Stegostoma tigrinum: one gene and its partners. The protein of the gene in region 1 purifies or fractionates together with the protein of each later gene. This does not show direct contact. Links are inferred from orthologs where the notes say so. Each region holds a gene or a part of one and is shown on either strand. Other genes may lie near its edges. The genes, in order: transcription regulator protein BACH1-like, fam83d and hmmr.

Region 1 (7,696 bases):
TTCCTTCCCACCATAAAATATTACAACTATAAAATAATGCATTGAAAATCATCTTGCAGCTGTTTCAGAGACAGTGCAATATGAGGGGTGGAGAATAATTTAAAATAATTTGATATAAATGATTATAATTCACCCACAATGTGATTGGTCTTTTCAAAGTCAAGAAGTATGTAATTTTATATTGTTTTATGGGTGAGAAAAATTATAGCTTACAAAATTCATAATGAGGAGCAATCAACTAATATGACAGGATCAATGCCTGCAATTTGTTTCTGACAACGAAACAGATTTGCTCATAAAACACAATTTACAGATTGTGAAAACTGCACGCTGAAAGTAATGCTCAGAGTTACTCACTTATCAGACATGATGATTTAGATAGGGAAAAATTACATAACAGCACTTAAAAGTTTGATTTCGATGTTCCTTTTCTTCCTCCAATACCCCTTCCCCATCTGCTCTCTCACCAAAGTCCAATGGCAGAAAAAAAATTAGCATTATAGTCTCAGTATTAGTCATACAGTACTGAAACAAACCCTTCAGTCCAACCAGTCTATGCTGGCCATAGTCCCAAACTATGAAGACTTGGAAAGGGGGAAAGAAAGAGAGAAAAGGAAATTAAAACATCTAAGATCTCAATAAGTTGAAAGATTCTTCATCTTCAACATGATAACATTTGTAGAAAGGTTTAGGTGATTAAATTGTATTGGCTACAATTATAAGCCAGTACCTAAAATATTGTTAGTGCAATCAGTTTTTGAGTATGCTGTTTAACAACCTGTGGCCTCAGCACCCAGAGAAAACTAAGTATTCTTATGTTAACTGGAGAAAGATCCAGAGCAACCCAATGGAATTAGAAATAAATGCTAGAAGTCAAATATGATGCACTACAAATTAGAAACCCAGTTAAACCAAAAGTGTTTCAGTTTTACCATTTAAAAAATACACTGAAAATTAGTTAGTTAAGAAATGACTTATAAATTAGTACAAAAAAGAAGTGAGAGAATGTATATAGGAAAGATAGATGACCCGTTGATGAGATATCATTTGGGAGTTACAAAATAACTCATTCAAGTTGCTGCAGCATTAAAAGGAAATAGCAGCAGAGCAAGCAACAAAGCAAAGATGAATATAGCCAAATTATGATGAAATTTTGGGGTTAGATTCAATCTACAACCAGAGTCTGGAAAAAAAAGCACCAATTTGCAAACATATTACAACACTACAGATTGAGGGGAGTGAATGGACACAAATAAATGAAAGTTACAGAAACCTTGTGATAAATTTAGCTTTCCATAATTAATTACTAAACCAAAGTAAAGTTGGATATAAAAGTGGATTTAACATAACACAAAGCAGAAACATCTTAGGCTAGAAACAAATTGAAAAGGTGAATACTGAACTTAGGTTCAAGCCTCTTGCTAGAATCGGTAAGGGGAAGAGATTAGTTATTTAATAGTCTGCAGGTTATTCTGGCTCGGAGGCAGGACAAATAATAAGAGGTAACACTTGGGTTCAAAAAAGATTTAGATCTTTCAGGTAATTCAGTATTTTACATTAAATCTGCATTAAACTGGAATAAGGAATTGAATAATAGAAGAATCTATTTGATGGAACAGTAATATTACATATTGATTAGGAAAAATATGCAGGGCATTGAGAAAGTGGATAAGTAAATAAAATTACTTGTAATTGAATTGATCAAAAAAATCTATTTTGTTTATTAATGAGCAGTCCATCTGGAGTAGTGTACTCTGATCATTCAAACACGAGCACTGACACATGAATAAAGTTGATTCTGTAAGTTAAGAGTTAAAGCTACAAAGAAGTTGGATTTCTTCTCATATAAACAATTTAATGAATATAATGTCACGATATTTGTGTTGAGGTGGCATTAACAAAACGCTTGAACTACTGCCATATATATCTATTATCCCTCTCCAGACTGTGGCGTACATCTGAACTATTGGAATGGTTTAATTCAATGCTGTTTTGCAGGGCAGTATGCAATTTAAAGAACACCCGATCTACTTTCTGCATACAACGAGCGTCTCTACAATCTGCTCACAGAGATAGTATTATCAACTGAACCGTAGATGACAGAATCATCATTTCAAGAAGTATTAACCATCTGTGCTACGCTGAATCTTTACATACTGTAAGCAAAGCCCAGGTACAAGCACGAAGGATAAGTGATGACCAACATTTGCACAAGTCATTTTGGCTACAAACGAGTGTTGTATATTTAAACCCCTCTCTTCGAGGTGAATTGTTCATCTGTTTTTATAACTATATGTAAGAATCATCTGAGGTTAATAACGACCGGTTGACAGTGTTTTAACATTAAAGCCCGAACCTAGAAGCTGGGAGACAAGTCCGATTGCACTTTACTAAATAGGAATATAGGCTGCTGGTCAGGCATCTAACGTAAGAACGACGATGGCAGATTCGCCCACCCTCAAGAGAAGAAATGTAGAAGCTCCTGACGAGGAAGTTAACATATGTTCAGGAAGTTGAACACCATGACAAATTTGATCATCTCCATGTTACAGCACACAGAAAACAAAAACAAACTTCTTTTAAGTTTCGGGCGGGGGGGCTGCGGTGGAGGAAGTCAGGCTCCGGGAGGTTTTTCGTGGAAGACGGAGTCTCCCAGGCTCAATGCGGGAGCCTGATCCACAGCGGCGCTCACAGGGTCCGGGAGCCGCTGCAGTTGCCGCGGTGGTGCTGTGTGTGTGTGTGTGAGTGTGTGTGAGAGAGAGAGAGAGAGAGAGAGAGTCGGAGCGGCCCGGCCCATTCCCAAAGCAACAACCCCTCAGGCAGTCACAGCAGCGACGGCCACCCCGCCCCAACCGAACCCACTCCAACATACCCCCTCACCTTATACACATACCGCCAAAAGAACACTCAAACACTAGACCAACGTGACCCAGGTTCCTCACTCACCGCTGATCAGGCTCAATTTTCTTCCTTTTTTCCCCCCCACACAGGCTCCAACCGTCCACTACCCGCCCCCTCACGTGACCACTCCAAACACCACAGCGGCGGGGCTGCAACCGTCGGAGTTCCTCCTCCCATCCTCTGGGTCCGTCCAATCGACGGACCTTTCACTTGACGCTGCACGCCCATTGGTCGCGGTTGACAACCGTCAAACTGTGTCCTCGACCCGGATTTCGTCAGCTAGATGATGTCATCGTCCACCAGAGAGTCGAGGAAACTTGGCCGAGGCGAATGGAGGGAGAGAGATAGACAGACAGACAGAGAAAAGGAAGGGAGGGGGGGAGAGAGAGAGGGGGAGGGAGAAGAGAAGAGAAAGTGTGTGTGTGTGTGGAACGGAACTGTGGAAAGCACAAGACAGTGTAAAGAGAGGGAAACTGGGTGGGGGAGTGGAAAGCGATGGGGTTGAGTGTGGATGGGGAGGTTGAAAAGGGAGGGGAGAGTGTGGGTCGGGGGACATGAGTGAGTGGAAGTGTGGACAGAGATGTGGGAGAGAGAAAGGGATTGGTGAGAGATGGTAGAAAGATCGTACTGAAGCAGATTGAGAAATGGGTTGAGATTGAGGAGCAGACAGAAAGGGTTGGAGAGACTGGGGAAGTGGAGAGTGGATGACAGAAAAGGAGTGATAGGGGCGAGGGAACAAGGGACGGAGATATTGGGAGAGGGGAAGGAGAGAACGTGAAACATGGTGGAAAGATATAACGTGGAGAGAGGAGGAATGATAGAGAGGAAGGGAACAGAGAAAGGGAGACAGGCGCGGTGGATGGATTGACGACAGAAGAGAGAAAAATGAAGTGAGAGATGGTGAAAAGACAAGATGGAGAGAAGGAAGAGGGATGGTGAAACGAGGGGTAGGAGGAGGACTGGATGAAGGGAAGCTGAGAAGGAAGAAACGATAATAGCGTCTCAGTTTTACAGCCAACGGAAAATATTGAATATATTTGAAAGTGTAATCTCTCAGCTTGATAACAAATCTCAATTTCTCACACGTAGCAGTTTGATAACAATCAACTGATTTATTTTTGTGATAAAGGGGTAAATGGACAAAATTTCAGCCATATTTAACTCAAAATGTAAGGTATATTTCTCTCCACAGATACTGTCAGATCTACTGAGTTCAGTTCATTTTTTAAAATTTCGAATTTCCAACATTTGTATTATGCTTCTATGTTATTGATTATTTTAATGTTAATTGGGGAAAAAGAACCTGGAAACAATTCCCCAGGTCTTCAAAAAGTGCATTAGGATCTTTTATGAAAGGGCAACCGTGGGTCTCTGTTTTAAAGTTTCATTGCAAGGTTGGTATCTGGGATGGTGCAACGGTCCTCCAGTACTTCAGTAAAGTGACAGCTTGGATTTTTACCAAGTCTGCAGTGAAACTTGAACTCTAACTCAGAAGTGAGAGCAATCAACTGAGCCCCGACTGACAGAATTTGGAATAGTGCGATGGAAAGGCGGAATAGGCGAGTGCAAAGAGGATTTGGGGAGAACAAACAAGGAGGTGTGGAAAGATGATTTGGCTGTGAATGCACCCAGTGTTCTGTCACTCCGCCCAGTGTGCGCCTGTTTAACAGCGTGCTGATGGTAGCTTATACCTTTGTTTCTGTTTCACTTAAAAGCTGGAGAATTGCAGCAGGCGGAATCGAATAGCTGTTACTAATCATAAGTCAAAAAGTACACAGAGTCTGCTAATGCCTGGGGAAGTGAGATTTTTGTTTGGGACATGAGTGCGCTGGTTATAACAGTAAATAATCGGATCATGTGGATTGTAATTGACAGTGAGCGGTGTCACCATTAAGCTGCTGGAGACGCCTCTTTCATTCATACAGATCGATTGACATTTCATACGTGGAACAATTAAACAGGTTAGGACAAAGCTCGTGTAATTTCGATGTGGGAGTGTGCACCGTACAAAGCTCCAATTGCTGAAAACTCTATGTTCATGTCCAAAAGCCAGTTGAGCCACTGCCCTGAAACTGGGTAGGATTTCCTTTCACAGAAGTGGTATGTACTTTGACGTGTGATCATTGGGATCGTTTAACGTCTCATTTCTCAACTGATTCGCTCAAGCATGTCGTGAAAGATTATACTCAAAAGAGCAACAACAACCGCGTGCGTAACTTAGTGTAAGGTACTAATGCCAGCCAAAACTGTGTAACTGATTTACAAACCACAATATCTCTTCTCGTTAAATCACAATACCTTTTTTTTTCTTTAAACTACACACAGAACCCTCATAAAATCGTTTGTTATTTCGACCTTCAATACTGGACATCACAGTGACGGCCAGGATCAACAGAGACTTAGAACAAAATAACTTTCGCACAGAGGAGCTAATCAGCCCGTCAAATCTATGCCAATTCCTTTAAAGAGCAATCAGTTTATCCCAATCCCCTAATCTTTTCTCATATCAATATGGATTTTTTCTTCAACTATTTATCTAATTCCCTTTTAAAACCTGTATCAGCCTGTACATCAGTGTATTAGTGTGTTATTTTCCATTTTTTGCTTCACCGACACCTGGGATCCTTCTAGGGGCTGGGTGCAAGGGACAACACTGCATGTGGTCAAAGCTTCAGCCTTCTCTCTCTGCGATGTGCCCCTGGGCAAACAGCGGTGAATAGCAGAATAAAGCAGCAGGGCTGCATAAAGGGAAGGTTTCACTGTTTGTATCCAACAGGTAATAAAGGATCTAATGAAACATCTGTATATAAGCATGTCCGGAATGTATCTCTTTGGACCCTGTTTGTATTTTCTTGGGTGTTTCATCACACATCACCTGGTTAGCAGCCTCAGTCTCATCCTCATTGTTAGAACAGGTTTTCTGGTCCACTATGTTCTTATTGTTCAATGCCTTCACCTCTGAAAACTCATTTTGTGCAGTGTGTGATTTGCTGGATGCTTGCTGGGGCACAGTGAAGTGATCCACCAGAACAATTGACGTCCCTCATCGCAACTTCAAGGAAGCAAAAGTTTGCTTGATGGTACCACAACTTTCCCTTGGCAGATGTTGGATAACTCCATGGGTTCCCCACAGAAAGGAATAACCATCTCTGCAGTAGATAGCCCTTTTCTCCAAGTTTCCACTCCTGGAAGCAAAGTGGAGACAAAGCTGAGTGGAAGTAGGTGTGTGTGATGGTTGCTTCCTGTGAAATTTTTTTTCAGGCCCTGATTGTTTTTTTTTAAATAAAGAACATGTGAACAAGGGAACAGGTGAGATGGAGTTTCACCTGCATCTCCTCCAATGTAATCTATCGCATCTGTTGCTGCCGGTGTGGTCCTCTCTACGTCGGTGATGCCAAACGTAGACGAGGTGATCATTTCACCGAGCAACTCTGCCTGGCCTATAACAGCCAACCTAACTTCCCGGTCACTGCCCAATTCAATTCCTCACCCCACTCCCCTTCCGACCTGCCCGTCCTTGGCTTCCTCAGTGTCTCAGAAACTTGGAATACAAATTTGAAGAACGACACCTTATCTTCCGCCTGGGCACCCTACAGCCCAGAGGACTCAACATTGAGTTCCCTAATTTCAAATAACCTTCCCACCATCACCCACCTCATCTTCCACTGCCACCTCCTCTCTTCCATTCCACCTTCTGACCCTTCCTTCCAGCTACCAACTGGATTCATCCATCCCATTAACCAACCAAGTCATACTACCATCAGTATCCACCTATCACCACCATTCTACTCCACACCCCCATCTCTTTATCTGCAGTTCCACCTACCCCCACATCCAGTCCTGAGGAAGGGTAATACCCGAAACATTGACTGCTCTTTTCCTCCAGATATTGCCTGACCTGCTGAATTTTTCCAGCTTCTCGTTTGTCAGCCAGATTCTGTACTGCCTAATTCTATAATACCGTGAGTGGATATTTTCCTCCAGTGGGGGACCCTGGAAGAGAGGAGGGGGTGAGACCATGAGACGAGAACCTTATAGTAAATGGGTTAACGATGATGATGTTAATAGCTTGAGTGATGCCAAGATGATGTCAGATCACACCTTTCTAGACTTTGGGGACATATGGTTCTGGTGGAGTTTGGCCAAGTTCTATCCTGTAATTAATGTCAATAATCAGTCCATGATCACTAGCTGCCCCAAGGTGCTGTCCAGCTCTTTACTGAAGACAACCAGAACCCAGTTGTGATAACAATGCAAGCCAAACCATTTAGCAATAAATCCTGGAACAAAGTCACTGACAAAAATTGCTCAGAATATGACACAGTATCCCCTTAATGGCAACACATCCTGGTGGCCCATTTAAATAGGTTTACACAAATATTTTGGTCTTAAGAGTCCTGCAGATGACAGAAATCTGAAACAATAATTGAAAAGTGCTAGAGAAACTGTGCATCTAGCAGCACCTGTAGATGGTGAAATAGAGTCAACGTCCAGCTTGACTGACTTTTTCATATTAACAGATTTGCAGTCTGGTCTTTTGCTTTTGTGGGTGAGAGTTGAACTTTTAATCTTTGCTTCTCAGACCTTGCTTTTGATGTGAGATCATCTTCAATGTCATTCCTGAAAGACAGAGGTGAAGTTGAATATTAATTCAGAGTGGAACGTCGCTTCCCTCCTTCAGGCTCTGTCATAAAACTGGCTGGATGGAGATTGTGCGTTATGTCTACAACTTCTGGTTTCCTGAGAAAGTGCTGATTTTGTATTGAGACCATGATTTAATCTTGGAATGTCTCAT
Region 2 (7,556 bases), on another chromosome or scaffold:
TATTTTCTGGAATAACAAAGTGTGAAGCTGGATGAACACGGCAGGCCAAGCAGCATCTCAGGAGCACAAAAGCTGACGTTTCGATGAAGGGTCTAGGCCCAAAACGTCAGCTTTTGTGCTCCTGAGATGCTACTTGGCCTGCTGTGTTCATCCAGCTTCACACTTTGTTATCTTGGATCCTCCAGCAGCTGCAGTTCCCATTATCTCTGATCATTATTTTCTGGGACTGTTTTGTGGACAGTACATTGGCACAAGGTTTTAACCAATTTAGTTCTTCCCTGTTTATTTTCATCCTGTTCGTGAAACTGTGTCAGAGCTTAACACTAACTCTGGTGAGTAAGTAACCCACCTTTGTGCAACATTTTGAGGAATGAATATTTGTTCCCACCTCAACTTCCCCCTTCAAGATGGGAGGCAATGCACTAAATGCTCTGTAACCTCTGTCATGGATATAAGTAGGTAAGTGTGGTTTGGGGGCAACACAGCATCTCAGGCAAGGGGTGAGACAAATCTTGCAGCAATAGGCTTATGTATGCAACCCAGAGAGGAATGGAAATAATAAATCAACAATCCTTTCCCTTTCTAATAATCCAGTTGTCAAATAATAGTTTATTGTGTCATTAAAGTATCACCTAGAATGATAAAAGCAGCAGGTACATAGGAGTGCCACCATCTGCAAGTTCTTCTCCAAGATCCACATCATCCTGACTTAGAAACGCAGCAACAGGAGAAGGACATGTCAAGCCCACTGCACCATTTAATGTGATAATAGTTAATCAAATACTTCAATGCCTTTTACCCACAATGTCCCCATAACCCTGCATACCACTCATGTCTATCTCCCTCATTCCTTCAAACTCAAGAGAATACAGGCCCAATTTGTCCAGTGTCTCTCAGTCAGACAGTCCTGCCATCCCAGGAACAAGTCTGCTGTACTCCTATTGCATTCTCTCTCTCTGCCAATGATATCCTCCCTCCGATAAGGAGACCAAAACTGCACACAGTATACCAGGTGCAGTCAGATCAAGCTTCTCTACAATTCTATACAATTGAAGTGAGACTTTACTACTGCTGTATGCAAATTCTCTTGCAATAGGTCTGCCATTTCATTAGCATTCCTAAAGGTTTGCTGTACCTGCATGTTAGCCTTCAGTGACATATTGATAAGGACACCTACTACCAGACAAAGGTCCCTTTGTACATCTACACTTTCTAACCTTATTATTTAAAAAATATTCTGCGCATCTGATCCTCCTACTAAAGTGGATAATCTTACAGTTTTATTATGTTGAGGTGATGGCCTAGTGCTATTATTGCTCGAATATTAATTTGGAACCCCAAGTAATATTTGGGGGACCTGGGTTCAAACTCTGCCAAGGCAGATAGTGGAATTTGGATTCAATAAAAATCTGGAATTTAGAACTCTAATGATGACCATGTTAGGGGAAAGCCCCATCTGATTTGTGAATGACCTTTAGGGAAAAGAAACTGCTTTCTTAGGCTGGCCTACATGTGACTCCAGACCTGCAGCAATGTAGTTGACTCTTGACTGCTCTCAGCAATTAGAGATGGGCAATAAATGCTGGCCATGTCAGTGGTGCCTACATCCCATGAATAAAAGGGGAAAAATATATATACTCTCTCAGCCATGCTCTTGCCCAGCCACTGCTTTACATCTTCACAACACACTATCCCACTTATCTCTGTATTATCTGAACATTTGGGAATATTACATTTGGTTACCACGTCCAAATCACATATATACTTCGAGCAGCTGGGACACAAGTACAGATCCTGGGAGTACCCCACTAATCAGAGTCTGCCAACATGACCATTCTAGAGTTTTATTTCTGTTAAATCCATCCATAATTAATGTGGATGGACATTTTGGTTGGCATGGACCAGTTTGAGCTGAAGGGCCTTTCTCTGTGCTGTAGGACTCTATGACTCTTCTGTCATGTTTTAAGTCTAATTGCCGAGCGAATATTTTTGTGCAGATGTTTGATTTCTCATTTCTCTGCGTCATCTAGGTCGGGCAATTGTCTTGATCTACACCTGACCACGTTAGATGTCAGTGATAATGGGAACTGCAGATGCTGGAGAATCCAAGACAACAAAATGTGAGGCTGGATGAACACAGCAGGCCAAGCAGCATCTCAGGATGAAGGGTCTCGGCCCGAAACATCAGCTTTTGTGCTCCTGAGATGCTGCTTGGCCTGCTGTGTTCATCCAGCCTCACATTTTGTTGTCACGTTAGATGTCTGCTCCTTTCGGCACTGCAGCAACTCCGGGGGGAGGGGGGGATCTTTGTCAATCACTTCTTGGACAATTTAGAAATGTGGTAGGGAAGTTTGATGACCTTTATTGTCTTCTCACAATGGTGAAATGAATCAAAGTCACAATGTTTACAGTTAAATTTGATTATATTTTGTTCAGTATAAATGAGAGTTGTTGCATTTTGGTATCTGGAGGGCATTGTTAAGTGCAGCAGTGTTATTTTTTATGCTTTGGACTTAAGTGTAACTTACATATAATTCATCCATGGCCTTTCTGGTAAGTGGCGCGTCTGGGAGTGCGTGCCCTGTCTCGGCTCCATTCCGTTGTGGTGGTCGGTCTGCGGGATGGTCTTTGATGTCTGGCTGGCTATCCCCCTTTCCCTTTCCAGTGGATTCCTGTATGCATTTCGTTTCGCGGGGGGGGGGGGGGGGGGTTATGGGCACTGAGTTGACTCGGCGGCAGGGTATTGCGGAGGCTGGAAGGTGTTGGACCGAAGGCAGAGGGTGCTGAAGTTGTTCGGCGGGTTTGTGGTGAAGCAGCGTTGACGTTTTGCATTTCTTCGGTACTAAAGGAAGAGATGGAAGTGTGGTAGGCTGTATACAGGGAAAAAGGTGGGACAGAAGGAAGGCCCCAGAATGATGGAAGGTGGAGATCATAGTTGTCACAGAAAACAGAGCAAAGGGAGATGTGATAATTATATAGATGAGAGATAACATATGGATGGGGTAGTGTAGGGGGAGGGGCTTAGATTAGTTCACAGGTCGGTGCAACATCGACGGCCGAAGGGCCTGTTCTGCGCTCTATTGTTCTATGTTCTTGGTTCTAAAATCCATGACAATACATCACCTCCTATCCCAAGTAATTTTCAATTTAGCTAACCAATCTCCTGTCTGAGACCTTACCAAAAGCCTTCTGAAAATCCCAGTATACTACTGCTTTTGATTCCCCTTTATCAGTTTTGTGAGAGCGTCCTCAACTCCAAATTGGAACTATTTTGCCATTCCTTCACTATCACAAAATCCGAGAAATCTCTTCTACAGCGCTGCGGGTGGCCCTCCAACGCAATGCTTGTGATGGTTGAGGGAAGTGGCTCAGCAGCACTTTTTTTTCTAGCGTAATCAGGAACCAGCAATAAAGCAAAGCCCAAATTCCCTTAATGAATTTAAGAAAACTGACCTCGGCGTAGTACAATATATATTAGGTATGCAAATACTGCCCACTCTGCTGGGGAGATTTCCTCACGTAACCTCCAATGACCCACCCCCACACTCTTGCTATTGGCCTATTGTCCAGGAGCACCGACTTTCGACAGCCAATTGGAGACTTTCTGAGCCAATTGGTTGTTTAACTTTAACTGTTTCACTAGCTCCCAACCATGCAACCATCTTGTTAGCAAATAAACTTGAAAATGTCTGTGGGGTCGCATTAGCAGTGTCCTCTTGAGCCAGGCTTCAAGACCCACCTGTTCTACAGATGTATGTCTGAACAGGTTGTTTAAAAAAATCCCTACCTCTGGACTATCAGCCATAGAAGTCGTCATTGGACAAGCATATGGACGTACATGGAATAGTTAAGTTAGATGGGCTTAAGATGGGTATGACAGGTCGGCACAACATCGCGGGCCAAAGGGCCTGTACTGTGCTGTAATGTTCTATGTTCTATGTTCTATAACATGTCTAAACAGGTTTAAAAAAAAGTGATTGTGCACCTATTCAAAGAAAATGAATAATAAGTTTCATTAAAATCACTGTGGATAATCGCCAGCAGATGATTTTCTATCCCTGGCCAATCCTGGAGGGTTGGTGATATCAATTTTATAAACAAAGAAATTTCTGACAGAGATAGTAGGAGCTGCCGATGCTGGAGAATCTGATATAACAAGGTGTAGAGCTGGATGAACACAGCAGGCCAAGCAGCATCAGAGGAGCAGGAAAGCTGACGTTTCAGGTCTAGACGCCTCCTCTGATGCTGAGATAATAAAATGTGAGGCTGGATGAACACAGCAGGCCAAGCAGCATCTCAGGAGCACAAAAGCTGACGTTTCGGGCCTAGACCCTTCATCAGTCTCTGGTTGGATCAGACATGAAAGTACAAGTTTGCAAAGGAGTGATGATTCTCTGTGTGTGTGTGTGTGAAAACAGACTGTCAGTGAGTGGGCGGAGCTTTCCCAGCTGTTTTTGGATGAATTTAAACCTGTAGCCAATCGCGATGGGGCTGTTGTCAAAATCCGTTAAAGAGTAAAAAGTAAGGGAGAGTCCTGAGCTGGTGGGATTGGGAGAAGTAACCGGGAGACTGGTTAGACAGCTCTCGCAGCAGCCAATCGCTTCTCGTAGTCTGTGTTTGAATGGACTGTTGGTGAATTTCAATCGTGGGGAACGGGAAGAAAATATACGGCGAGTCAAGGAGCGCGGCTGCTTTTGTAACAAGGGATTTTCGAGACTCGTCAAGGAAGACTCTAAACTTCTGTCTGTGCAAAACTAATTCTGGGCGTGCAAGCCGGCAGAAGCCCCCCCCCCCCCAATTCTGGGCGTGCAAGCCGGCAGAAGCCCCCCCTCCCAAATTCTGGGCGTGCAAGCCGGCAGAAGAACCCCCCCAAATTCTGGGCGTGCAAGCCGGCAGAAGACCCCCTGTCCCTGGAGTGAAGGGAGCGGTGAAAGCAGGCTCTGGGTCTGAAATCTCCAGCTTTACCTGGGACCCTGGACCATGAATGATTCCCAGTGCCTCGATGACCTGCCGATCGTGTCCAGGTGGTGTGGTGCTGCCAGGCAGGAGCTGGGACTGAGAGAGTTTTATAGCGAGACCCAGCGCCTGGCTTTGGAAGAGCTGATCTCCGGCGGCGAGGAGGCTTACAGCGCCTTACTAAAGAGAGAGAGAGTCCAGGGCTTCCTGTCGGCCGATGAGATCGCCAGCATCCTGCAATCCACCATCAGCCCCCCTGGGCTAGACAGCCAGCCACTCGAGCAATCCTTCACCTGCTCCAGTGACCTAAGCTCGGGGACCTATTTCCCCGATGCCTCGGACATTGAGGTGCCGGTTCTGGACATTGGGTGGCCGGTGTATCCGAGCAACTGGTACCGGGGTGTGACCCAGGTGGAGGTGTATTTCCAGCCCAGCTATGGGGAGCTCATCTACAGCTGCAAGGAGGCGATCAGGAAGCTCATCAGAAAGGCAGAGAAGGTAGGTTAGGGGGAATATGATTAACCTGGTACTTTCCATACCCGCCCCTTGCGCGGATTTGTTTTTCATTTTGGACGTTTCATTTCAATCTAGATTCTCTTGTATGTTGAATATTTAATACATGTTAAATGCCAAAGATAGAAACTTACTTTTTCCAAAATACAGAGCTATATTTTAACAGAGTTAATCTAGCCAGTGGAAGGAAAGGTTGAGTGACTGGAAACAGCCAGCAGTGTTGTTTGGATGGTAGAATGGATACGGTGGAGTTCCCCAGGGTTCGGTTTCAGCACTTTCTTTGTTCTATATTAAGACCTTTGTGCAAAAGACTGTCAGATACAGCGTAAAATTAGAACTCTCCAGTCCTGTAATGATTAGGATTTCTTGCTGTTACCATTACACCCAGGGTTGGATTCTTGTCCAGGCAATGATTCCCCACAGTTTACACAAAGTCTTTGTGTAATGTCACTGCCCTTGTAATACAGACCTTGCACACTCAGGATTAAATAGATCCCAAGCCCATCACAGCAGCTGGGAGCAATTCAAAACCAGTGGCTAAATCTGAAAATATGAAGCAATGTTTAATGTAACAGTGACCGCTCCATGGTCATCCGTCCATTGGAAAAGCCTTCTTGTTTTGGCCTACATGCAATGAGGCTGAATCTGAAATTTCAAGCCGTTCAGTTCAAGGGGAATTTGTGGTAGGAAAATAATGCAAGCCTTAACACAGGGTCTCACATCCCCTTCGAAGAATAAAGAGGGGAAAATGTTCAAAGACAATTAAAGCTAAATGCCAGGAACAACTTGGCCATAGCCTGAGAGTTGAGGCCAGACAGTTTGAGAGATGTTAAGAACCACCTCTACACAACCAGGGTGTCAAAGGTTTGGAGCTCTCTTCGACAAATAGCAGTGGATGCTGGATCAGCTAATTTTAAAACTGAGATAGATATGTTTTTGGTAAGTAAGGGGATGTGGTCTAAAGACAGTTATAGGGAGTTAAGTCAGACATTGGCTGCTATCTCATTGAATTCTGGAACAAACTCAAAGGGTTGAATGGCCTACTCCTGTTTCTATGTTCCTATAAGCTTTTTTTTGCACTGTATAATATTCCAAGAGGTTCAGAATCAAGCCTGAAATTTCTTCAGAAGGTAAATATTTGGGAAACATTTGTACTGAGATTACTAATAAATGTGAGGAATTTATATGATGGCGATAGAACTGTTCTGGTTGATAATATATTGGTTCTAGAGTGGGACAAATAAGCCACTCCTGCTGATCTGTTCTATTTGTTTCATGAAAAATTTGTTTTCACTAGTAGCTTGGGTACTGTGATTTATTGTCTGTGCATTTAGACGTAGTAAGATTGCAGTGAAAACATGTAAAGACAGTGAAAGGCTGACCTGTTATTCAGTGCCCTGATTAATTGATGACCGTCTTGAGGTGCAGTGGTAGTGTCACTATCCTTGGACTGAGGGGCCCAGGTTCTAGTCCCACCTGCTCCAAAGGTATGCAATAACCTTTCTGAACAGATGGTTTCGAAAAATAGGTTAATTGATGGTCCAACAGATCCTGTTGTGCACAACAAGGTCAGAACTAAATTTTGTTGCTGACCTAGAAACTATTGTTCATTTAGTCATTTAACACCTGCAACGGAATAAGATAGGGCTCAGGTTTCTTGTTCACTGTGACTGCTTTTAATGTTTGCCCAAACCATGAGTTTTGGATGTTAGATGTTCAAATGATATTTGCATGTTTTTAAACACTGAAGTTAATTGTTCTGTGCCTCAGGCAGGATGAGTACAGACAGAAATTTTCTAACTAAAAAAAGTATAAAATTTTACAGATGCACGAAATCTAAAAAAGTAAAGAATGCACAAAGGGAGTGCTGATAAGTTATGCCGTACTTTTTTTTAGAGGGAATAAATGATTTAACTATTGGTAGCACCCTCCCCTCTGAGCCAAAGAGCTGAGAGTTCAAACCAGGCTCAGAAAAATAAAGCACATAATCTAGGGCGATGTGCCCAGAGCAATACCAAGGGAGTACTGCATGTTCTAACACAGACTCAGCTGCCCCATTGGGTGGTTAAGGTCCCAAGGCACATTCT
Region 3 (7,598 bases), on another chromosome or scaffold:
AGAAGACACCAGCCAAGTCCTGCTGTTTTTGGACTGGTAAGTGGCCAGCAAATATTATTGTGCACAAGTACTAACCAAAATAAACCCCAATCATCTACTGCCTGTAAGAGATCCCACCTATTTATCTTTTTGAGTATGGACTGAAAATGAGAAAAATGCACACTACTTTAAAAAGGGAGAATATACAAGGAGTTATTTGCAGATTTGGAAAATGAGTGAAGGTGATTGATACAAATGTTACAATGTTACTTTTAGAAAGACCATGCCTAGATGAAACAGCTCTACTGATGTGTTAGGAGCAACTCTGCTTGGACAATCTATCTTTGGTTGACTTTTCAATTGGCATAATTTGTTATGGGGTCAAGTGAACTCAGCATAGCAAAAAGCCTCTGATTGATCATGTTGCAATCTAACAGATCCTAAGGGGAATGAAAACAGAAGACATTAGAAATTGCCCAAAGCTTGCAATATCAACATCTCCCTATCTGTCCGCTCTCTTGCTCTGGAAAATTGTATCCTCAAATTCTGTTGAAAGAGCAAGGAGGAACTATGTTCAGAGCTGTCAAAATGACGAATACTGAAGTTCACCGGAACAAGACAGACCTGAGTCCAACCAAATCGCCAGTGAACTGCAAATTGATCATCAAACACTCAAACGGATTCTGAAGCCAATTCATCTAGTTTTAAGATCTTGGACCTGTGATACAAAATTATGTTCCTGATGTTCTTTTTCCTCTCCATTGATAATATTTGTGTCTTGTCTGTTTCCCTGTGCACCCGAGTGAATATTTTAAAGATTAAGTTATATAAATTATAAATCCAGTTTGAAATTCATCTAACCAACATTTTACCATTGTCATGAATAGTTTTATTGTGATCAATCATTATTTTCTTATTAATAGAAAAGGCGGGTGTGCTAAATCTGTCAACCTGAATTATAGTTAAATAGAATTGGGCAATTCAGGGGTTTAATCAAATTTTCACATTTGTGACAACTCAGGGAAAGATGGGTTTGAATTACAATGCACTATCCTCAGCGAGTTGTGACACAATGCAAACCTCATATCTCCAACTTTCAACTTCTTGACTTCATCATAGGTTCAACTCAAACAGCACCATCAACATTGCCTTAAGTATGAATATACAAAATATCCTTGTGCCTAATCTCAGTCCTCCCCAGTGACATTCTTGAATGAAGATAATTAAAATTTCCTTCTGTCCAAAATTTTTGACAATGGTACAAAGTTATCCCCTTGGGGCTCACTGTTGTGTTACACATGGGGACACATCATTTTAAAAAGCTGTTACTGAAATATGGATTGTGATTGAAGGGTATATGCTAGCCATAATCTGATGCTGTTTTTTGTGTCAGCACAGGAAGTGCTATAAGGAATTCTTGCAGTCCCAAAAAGAATTCTTTCAATCCAACATAAAGGGACGGAGGGTTAACAACTGGAGGTGTGGAGGGCTCCTCTGGCCATGAATACTAAGGGAAATCTAGCAGCTCCATTGTCATTGAGACATTATAGGCTATTAGAAGTACAGAATTGTATTTAGCCACAATTTATGATCAAATGGTCGAGCACATCCCCCTCTACTGATAGCACCAAGGCAAGGGACTGAGCCTTGTTTATTATGTTTTCTGCACACAACCAGGAACAACACAAGATATATCAAAAAATGAAACGCTGAAGCAGTGAAATTACCAAGGACCACATACATGCAAACCTAGCTGAAGCAGCAAGCAACTGAGTAAGCAAAGGATCTCACAATCGACAGGTTGGATCAGATCCAAATTCTCAAAGTCCTGCCAAACACCCAACACGAATGATGGTGTAAAAGTAAATTAACTGAAGGAGAAGCTCCATAAAGATCTCCATTTTCAATGATAGAGAATCAATACAAAATATATTTGCAACCATCTTTAGCCAGAAGTCCAAAGTAGAGATCCATCTCTATCTCTACCTGGAAGGCCCACTATCATCCTGTCAAATGAAACCAACAAATCAGAATGTTCTCACAGACATTTATTCTGTCCTGTGAGAGTTTACGTCATTCTTAACCTGTGAAAAGTGGGCCTTCTTGAGAAGCTGATCACTTGGGATGTAGACACAGCATAAGCCAGCAAACCTCATTCTCCATGACCGCATGACTGGGGAAAATCTGTTTCAATCAGGACATTGGAATTTGCACACCTGTCCTTGAAGACCCTGCGAAGACACAACTGGCGGAAACAGCCTGGCGCTTTAGTTGCCTACACCATGCTGGCCTGGATGGGTGCAGGACCAAACAGGACAAAAAGCAGTCTGCGTGACTAGCGCCATATCTACAAGCATCCATTCCATCCACCAACCCCCAGTCAGTAGTGTGCATCATCCACAAGACACAGACTCAGTGGGCCAAAGGGCTTTTCTTGCATGCAGATTTCCAACACCCTCCCATTGAGAGAAATTTCTCCTTCAATCACTTTTGGAACACCATCCAGGACAAAGCAGCTCGCTTGATTGGCACTACATCCACAAGCATCCACTCCCTCCACCACCGACACTCAGTAGCAGCAGTATGTACCAGCAACAAGATGCACTGCAGAAATACAAAGATCCTTAGACAGCACTTCTCAAACCAACATTCGCTTCCATGTAAAAGGACAAGGGGAAAGTAGATACTTTTGATTTAATCTGTCATTGTCACATGAACCTTGGTGCAGTGAAAAGTTTTGTTTTGCGTGCAGATCGTACCAGGCAAAGTGCATCAGGCCAACAGAACGTGGGAAACAACAGCAGCTTCTGAAGGAGCAATAGGGAACGGGCAGTAAATGCTGACCCAGCCAAAGACCGTCCACGTCCCATGAACATGACAAAAAGCTGACAGCGGCTGCGATCAGACCTCAACCTGCAGCGGAGCCGTCACTCACCCACACACAGTGAAAGTTCTCGGAGATCGGATTCCCTGTGAGCCCCGGGAACGCAACTCACCCACTTTGTCGTTGAAGCGTTTAAGCGGCGCTCTGGGGAATGACATGCCGTCTCGTCCCGTCCGAGAGCTGCGACCGTCAGTTGATGGAATAACTCGATCCGGCTCCCCCGCCAACCGCCGGCCGTTTGAATGTTCGGTCACATGACACCGCGCACCAATCAGAGGCCCGGGAACCGCCAACGGCCTCCTGGTCCGCTCACGTGACCGTTATGGGGGCGGGCCTCTTCTCTATCAACCGGGTAACCATCACCCCGACCACCAGAGTTCCTCGCCCCCACTGTTACCATGGTAATCCTCCATCACGCCGTCACCATGGAAATGCTCAGCGCCTGTCGCCGTGGTAACTGTCCCCACCATTTCACCATGGTAACTCTCCCCAGACTGTTCTCCCAACATTCCCTGTTTACTTCCAACCCCCGCAAAGATTCTTTCAAATTCTGACCTCCCCATCCATTTCCCCGACCCCAACACTTCACCCCAACACCTCCTGGACCAGGAGACCCTCCACACTTCACCCCAACACCTCCTGGACCAGGAGACCCTCCACACTTCACCCCAACACCTCCTGGACCAGGAGACCCTCCACACTTCATCCCAACACCTCCTGGACCAGGAGACCCTCCACACTTCACCCCCACACCTCCTGGACCAGGAGACCCTCCACACTTCACCCCAACACCTCCTGGACCAGGAGACCCTCCACACTTCACCCCAACACCTCCTGGACCAGGAGACCCTCCACACTTCACCCCAACACCTCCTGGACCAGGAGACCCTCCACACTTCACCCCAACACCTCCTGGACCAGGAGACCCTCCACACTTCACCCCAACACCTCCTGGACCAGGAGACCCTCCACACTTCACCCCAACACCTCCTGGACCAGGAGACTCTCCACAATTCACCCCAACACCTCCTGGACCAGGAGACCCTCCACACTTCACCCCAACACCTCCTGGACCAGGAGACTCTCCACAATTCACCCCAACACCTCCTGGACCAGGAGACCCTCCACACTTCACCCCCACACCTCCTGGACCAGGAGACCCTCCACACTTCACCCCAACACCTCCTGGACCAGGAGACCCTCCACACTTCATCCCAACACCTCCTGGACCAGGAGACCCTCCACACTTCACCCCAACACCTCCTGGACCAGGAGACCTTCCACACTTCACCCCCACACCTCCTGGACCAGGAGACCCTCCACACTTCACCCCCACACCTCCTGGACCAGGAGACCCTCCACACTTCACCCCAACACCTCCTGGACCAGGAGACCCTCCACACTTCATCCCAACACCTCCTGGACCAGGAGACCCTCCACACTTCACCCCAACACCTCCTGGACCAGGAGACCCTCCACACTTCACCCCAACACCTCCTGGACCAGGAGACTCTCCACACTTCATCCCAACACCTCCTGGACCAGGAGACCCTCCACACTTCACCCCAACACCTCCTGGACCAGGAGACCCTCCACACTTCATCCCCACACCTCCTGGACCAGGAGACCCTCCACACTTCACCCCCACACCTCCTGGACCAGGAGACCCTCCACACTTCACCCCCACACCTCCTGGACCAGGAGACCCTCCACACTTCATCCCCACACCTCCTGGACCAGGAGACCCTCCACACTTCACCCCCACACCTCCTGGACCAGGAGACCCTCCACACTTCATCCCAACACCTCCTGGACCAGGAGACCCTCCACACTTCACCCCAACACCTCCTGGACCAGGAGACCCTCCACACTTCATCCCCACACCTCCTGGACCAGGAGACCCTCCACACTTCACCCCCACACCTCCTGGACCAGGAGACCCTCCACACTTCACCCCCACACCTCCTGGACCAGGAGACCCTCCACACTTCATCCCCACACCTCCTGGACCAGGAGACCCTCCACACTTCACCCCCACACCTCCTGGACCAGGAGACCCTCCACACTTCACCCCCACACCTCCTGGACCAGGAGACCCTCCACACTTCACCCCAACACCTCCTGGACCAGGAGACCCTCCACACTTCACCCCAACACCTCCTGGACCAGGAGACCCTCCACACTTCATCCCCACACCTCCTGGACCAGGAGACCCTCCACACTTCATCCCCACACCTCCTGGACCAGGAGACCCTCCACACTTCACCCCAACACCTCCTGGACCAGGAGACCCTCCACACTTCACCCCAACACCTCCTGGACCAGGAGACCCTCCACACTTCATCCCCACACCTCCTGGACCAGGAGACCCTCCACACTTCATCCCCACACCTCCTGGACCAGGAGACCCTCCACACTTCACCCCAACACCTCCTGGACCAGGAGACCCTCCACACTTCACCCCAACACCTCCTGGACCAGGAGACCCTCCACACTTCACCCCAACACCTCCTGGACCAGGAGACCCTCCACACTTCACCCCAACACCTCCTGGACCAGGAGACCCTCCACACTTCATCCCCACACCTCCTGGACCAGGAGACCCTCCACACTTCATCCCCACACCTCCTGGACCAGGAGACCCTCCACACTTCACCCCAACACCTCCTGGACCAGGAGACCCTCCACACTTCACCCCAACACCTCCTGGACCAGGAGACCCTCCACACTTCATCCCCACACCTCCTGGACCAGGAGACCCTCCACACTTCATCCCCACACCTCCTGGACCAGGAGACTCTCCACACTTCACCCCAACACCTCCTGGACCAGGAGACCCTCCACACTTCACCCCCACACCTCCTGGACCAGGAGACCCTCCACACTTCACCCTCACACCTCCTGGACCAGGAGACTCTCCACACTTCATCCCCACACCTCCTGGACCAGGAGACCCTCCACACTTCATCCCCACACCTCCTGGACCAGGAGACCCTCCACACTTCATCCCCACACCTCCTGGACCAGGAGACCCTCCACACTTCATCCCCACACCTCCTGGACCAGGAGACCCTCCACACTTCACCCCCAACACCTCCTGAACCAGGAGACCCTCCACACGTCACCCCCACACCTCCTGGACCAGGAGACCCTCCACACTTCACCCCCACACCTCCTGGACCAGGAGACCCTCCACACTTCATCCCCACACCTCCTGGACCAGGAGACCCTCCACACTTCACCCCAACACCTCCTGGACCAGGAGACCCTCCACACTTCACCCCCACACCTCCTGGACCAGGAGACCTTCCACACTTCATCCCCACACCTCCTGGACCAGGAGACCCTCCACACTTCACCCCCACACCTCCTGGACCAGGAGACCTTCCACACTTCACCCCCACACCTCCTGGACCAGGAGACCCTCCACACTTCATCCCCACACCTCCTGGACCAGGAGACCCTCCACACTTCATCCCAACACCTCCTGGACCAGGAGACCCTCCACACTTCACCCCAACACCTCCTGGACCAGGAGACCCTCCACACATCATCCCCACACCTCCTGGACCAGGAGACCCTCCACACTTCACCCCAACACCTCCTGGACCAGGAGACCCTCCACACTTCACCCCAACACCTCCTGGACCAGGAGACCCTCCACACTTCATCCCCACACCTCCTGGACCAGGAGACCCTCCACACTTCACCCCCACACCTCCTGGACCAGGAGACCCTCCACACTTCACCCCAACACCTCCTGGACCAGGAGACCCTCCACACTTCACCCCCACACCTCCTGGACCAGGAGACCCTCCACACTTCACCCCAACACCTCCTGGACCAGGAGACTCTCCACACTTCACCCCCACACCTCCTGGACCAGGAGACCCTCCACACTTCATCCCCACACCTCCTAGACCAGGAGACCCTCCACACTTCACCCCAACACCTCCTGGACCAGGAGACCCTCCACACTTCACCCCCACACCTCCTGGACCAGGAGACCCTCCACACTTCATCCCCACACCTCCTGGACCAGGAGACCCTCCACACTTCATCCCCACACCTCCTGGACCAGGAGACCCTCCACACTTCACCCCAACACCTCCTGGACCAGGAGACCCTCCACACTTCACCCCAACACCTCCTGGACCAGGAGACCCTCCACACTTCATCCCCACACCTCCTGGACCAGGAGACCCTCCACACTTCACCCCAACACCTCCTGGACCAGGAGACCCTCCACACTTCACCCCCACACCTCCTGGACCAGGAGACCCTCCACACTTCATCCCCACACCTCCTGGACCAGGAGACCCTCCACACTTCACCCCAACACCTCCTGGACCAGGAGACCCTCCACACTTCACCCCAACACCTCCGGGACCAGGAGACCCTCCACACTTCACCCCAACACCTCCTGGACCAGGAGACCCTCCACACTTCATCCCCACACCTCCTGGACCAGGAGACCCTCCACACTTCACCCCAACACCTCCTGGACCAGGAGACCCTCCACACATCACCCCCACACCTCCTGGACCAGGAGACCCTCCACACTTCACCCCAACACCTCCTGGACCAGGAGACCCTCCACACTTCACCCCAACACCTCCTGGACCAGGAGACTCTCCACAATTCACCCCAACACCTCCTGGACCAGGAGACCCTCCACACTTCACCCCCACACCTCCTGGACCTGGAGACCCTCCACACTTCACCCCCACTCCTC

The links.
Region 2: the proteins of transcription regulator protein BACH1-like (region 1) and fam83d purify together in Homo sapiens (co-immunoprecipitation; 3 studies listed by BioGRID and IntAct, counting the BioPlex papers as one, with this or other methods). This does not show direct contact. The link is inferred for Stegostoma tigrinum from reciprocal best matches to the Homo sapiens genes BACH1 and FAM83D.
Region 3: the proteins of transcription regulator protein BACH1-like (region 1) and hmmr purify together in Homo sapiens (affinity purification with mass spectrometry; 6 studies listed by BioGRID and IntAct, counting the BioPlex papers as one, with this or other methods). This does not show direct contact. The link is inferred for Stegostoma tigrinum from reciprocal best matches to the Homo sapiens genes BACH1 and HMMR.

Annotation. Positions count from the first base shown.
Region 1 is NC_081365.1:60,821,486-60,829,181, forward strand, and holds the start of transcription regulator protein BACH1-like, read right to left. Parts: upstream 3,038-7,696; 5' UTR 2,947-3,037; exon of another isoform or gene 2,881-2,946; intron 1-2,880. UniProt on the Homo sapiens protein: Transcriptional regulator that acts as a repressor or activator, depending on the context. Binds to NF-E2 DNA binding sites. Plays important roles in coordinating transcription activation and repression by MAFK.
Region 2 is NC_081372.1:13,696,229-13,703,784, forward strand, and holds the start of fam83d (protein FAM83D), read left to right. Parts: upstream 1-4,463; 5' UTR 4,464-4,980; coding exon 4,981-5,454; intron 5,455-7,556.
Region 3 is NC_081366.1:12,723,646-12,731,243, reverse strand, and holds the start of hmmr (hyaluronan mediated motility receptor), read right to left. Parts: upstream 3,089-7,598; 5' UTR 3,022-3,088; coding exon 2,976-3,021; intron 1-2,975. UniProt on the Homo sapiens protein: Receptor for hyaluronic acid (HA). Involved in cell motility. When hyaluronan binds to HMMR, the phosphorylation of a number of proteins, including PTK2/FAK1 occurs.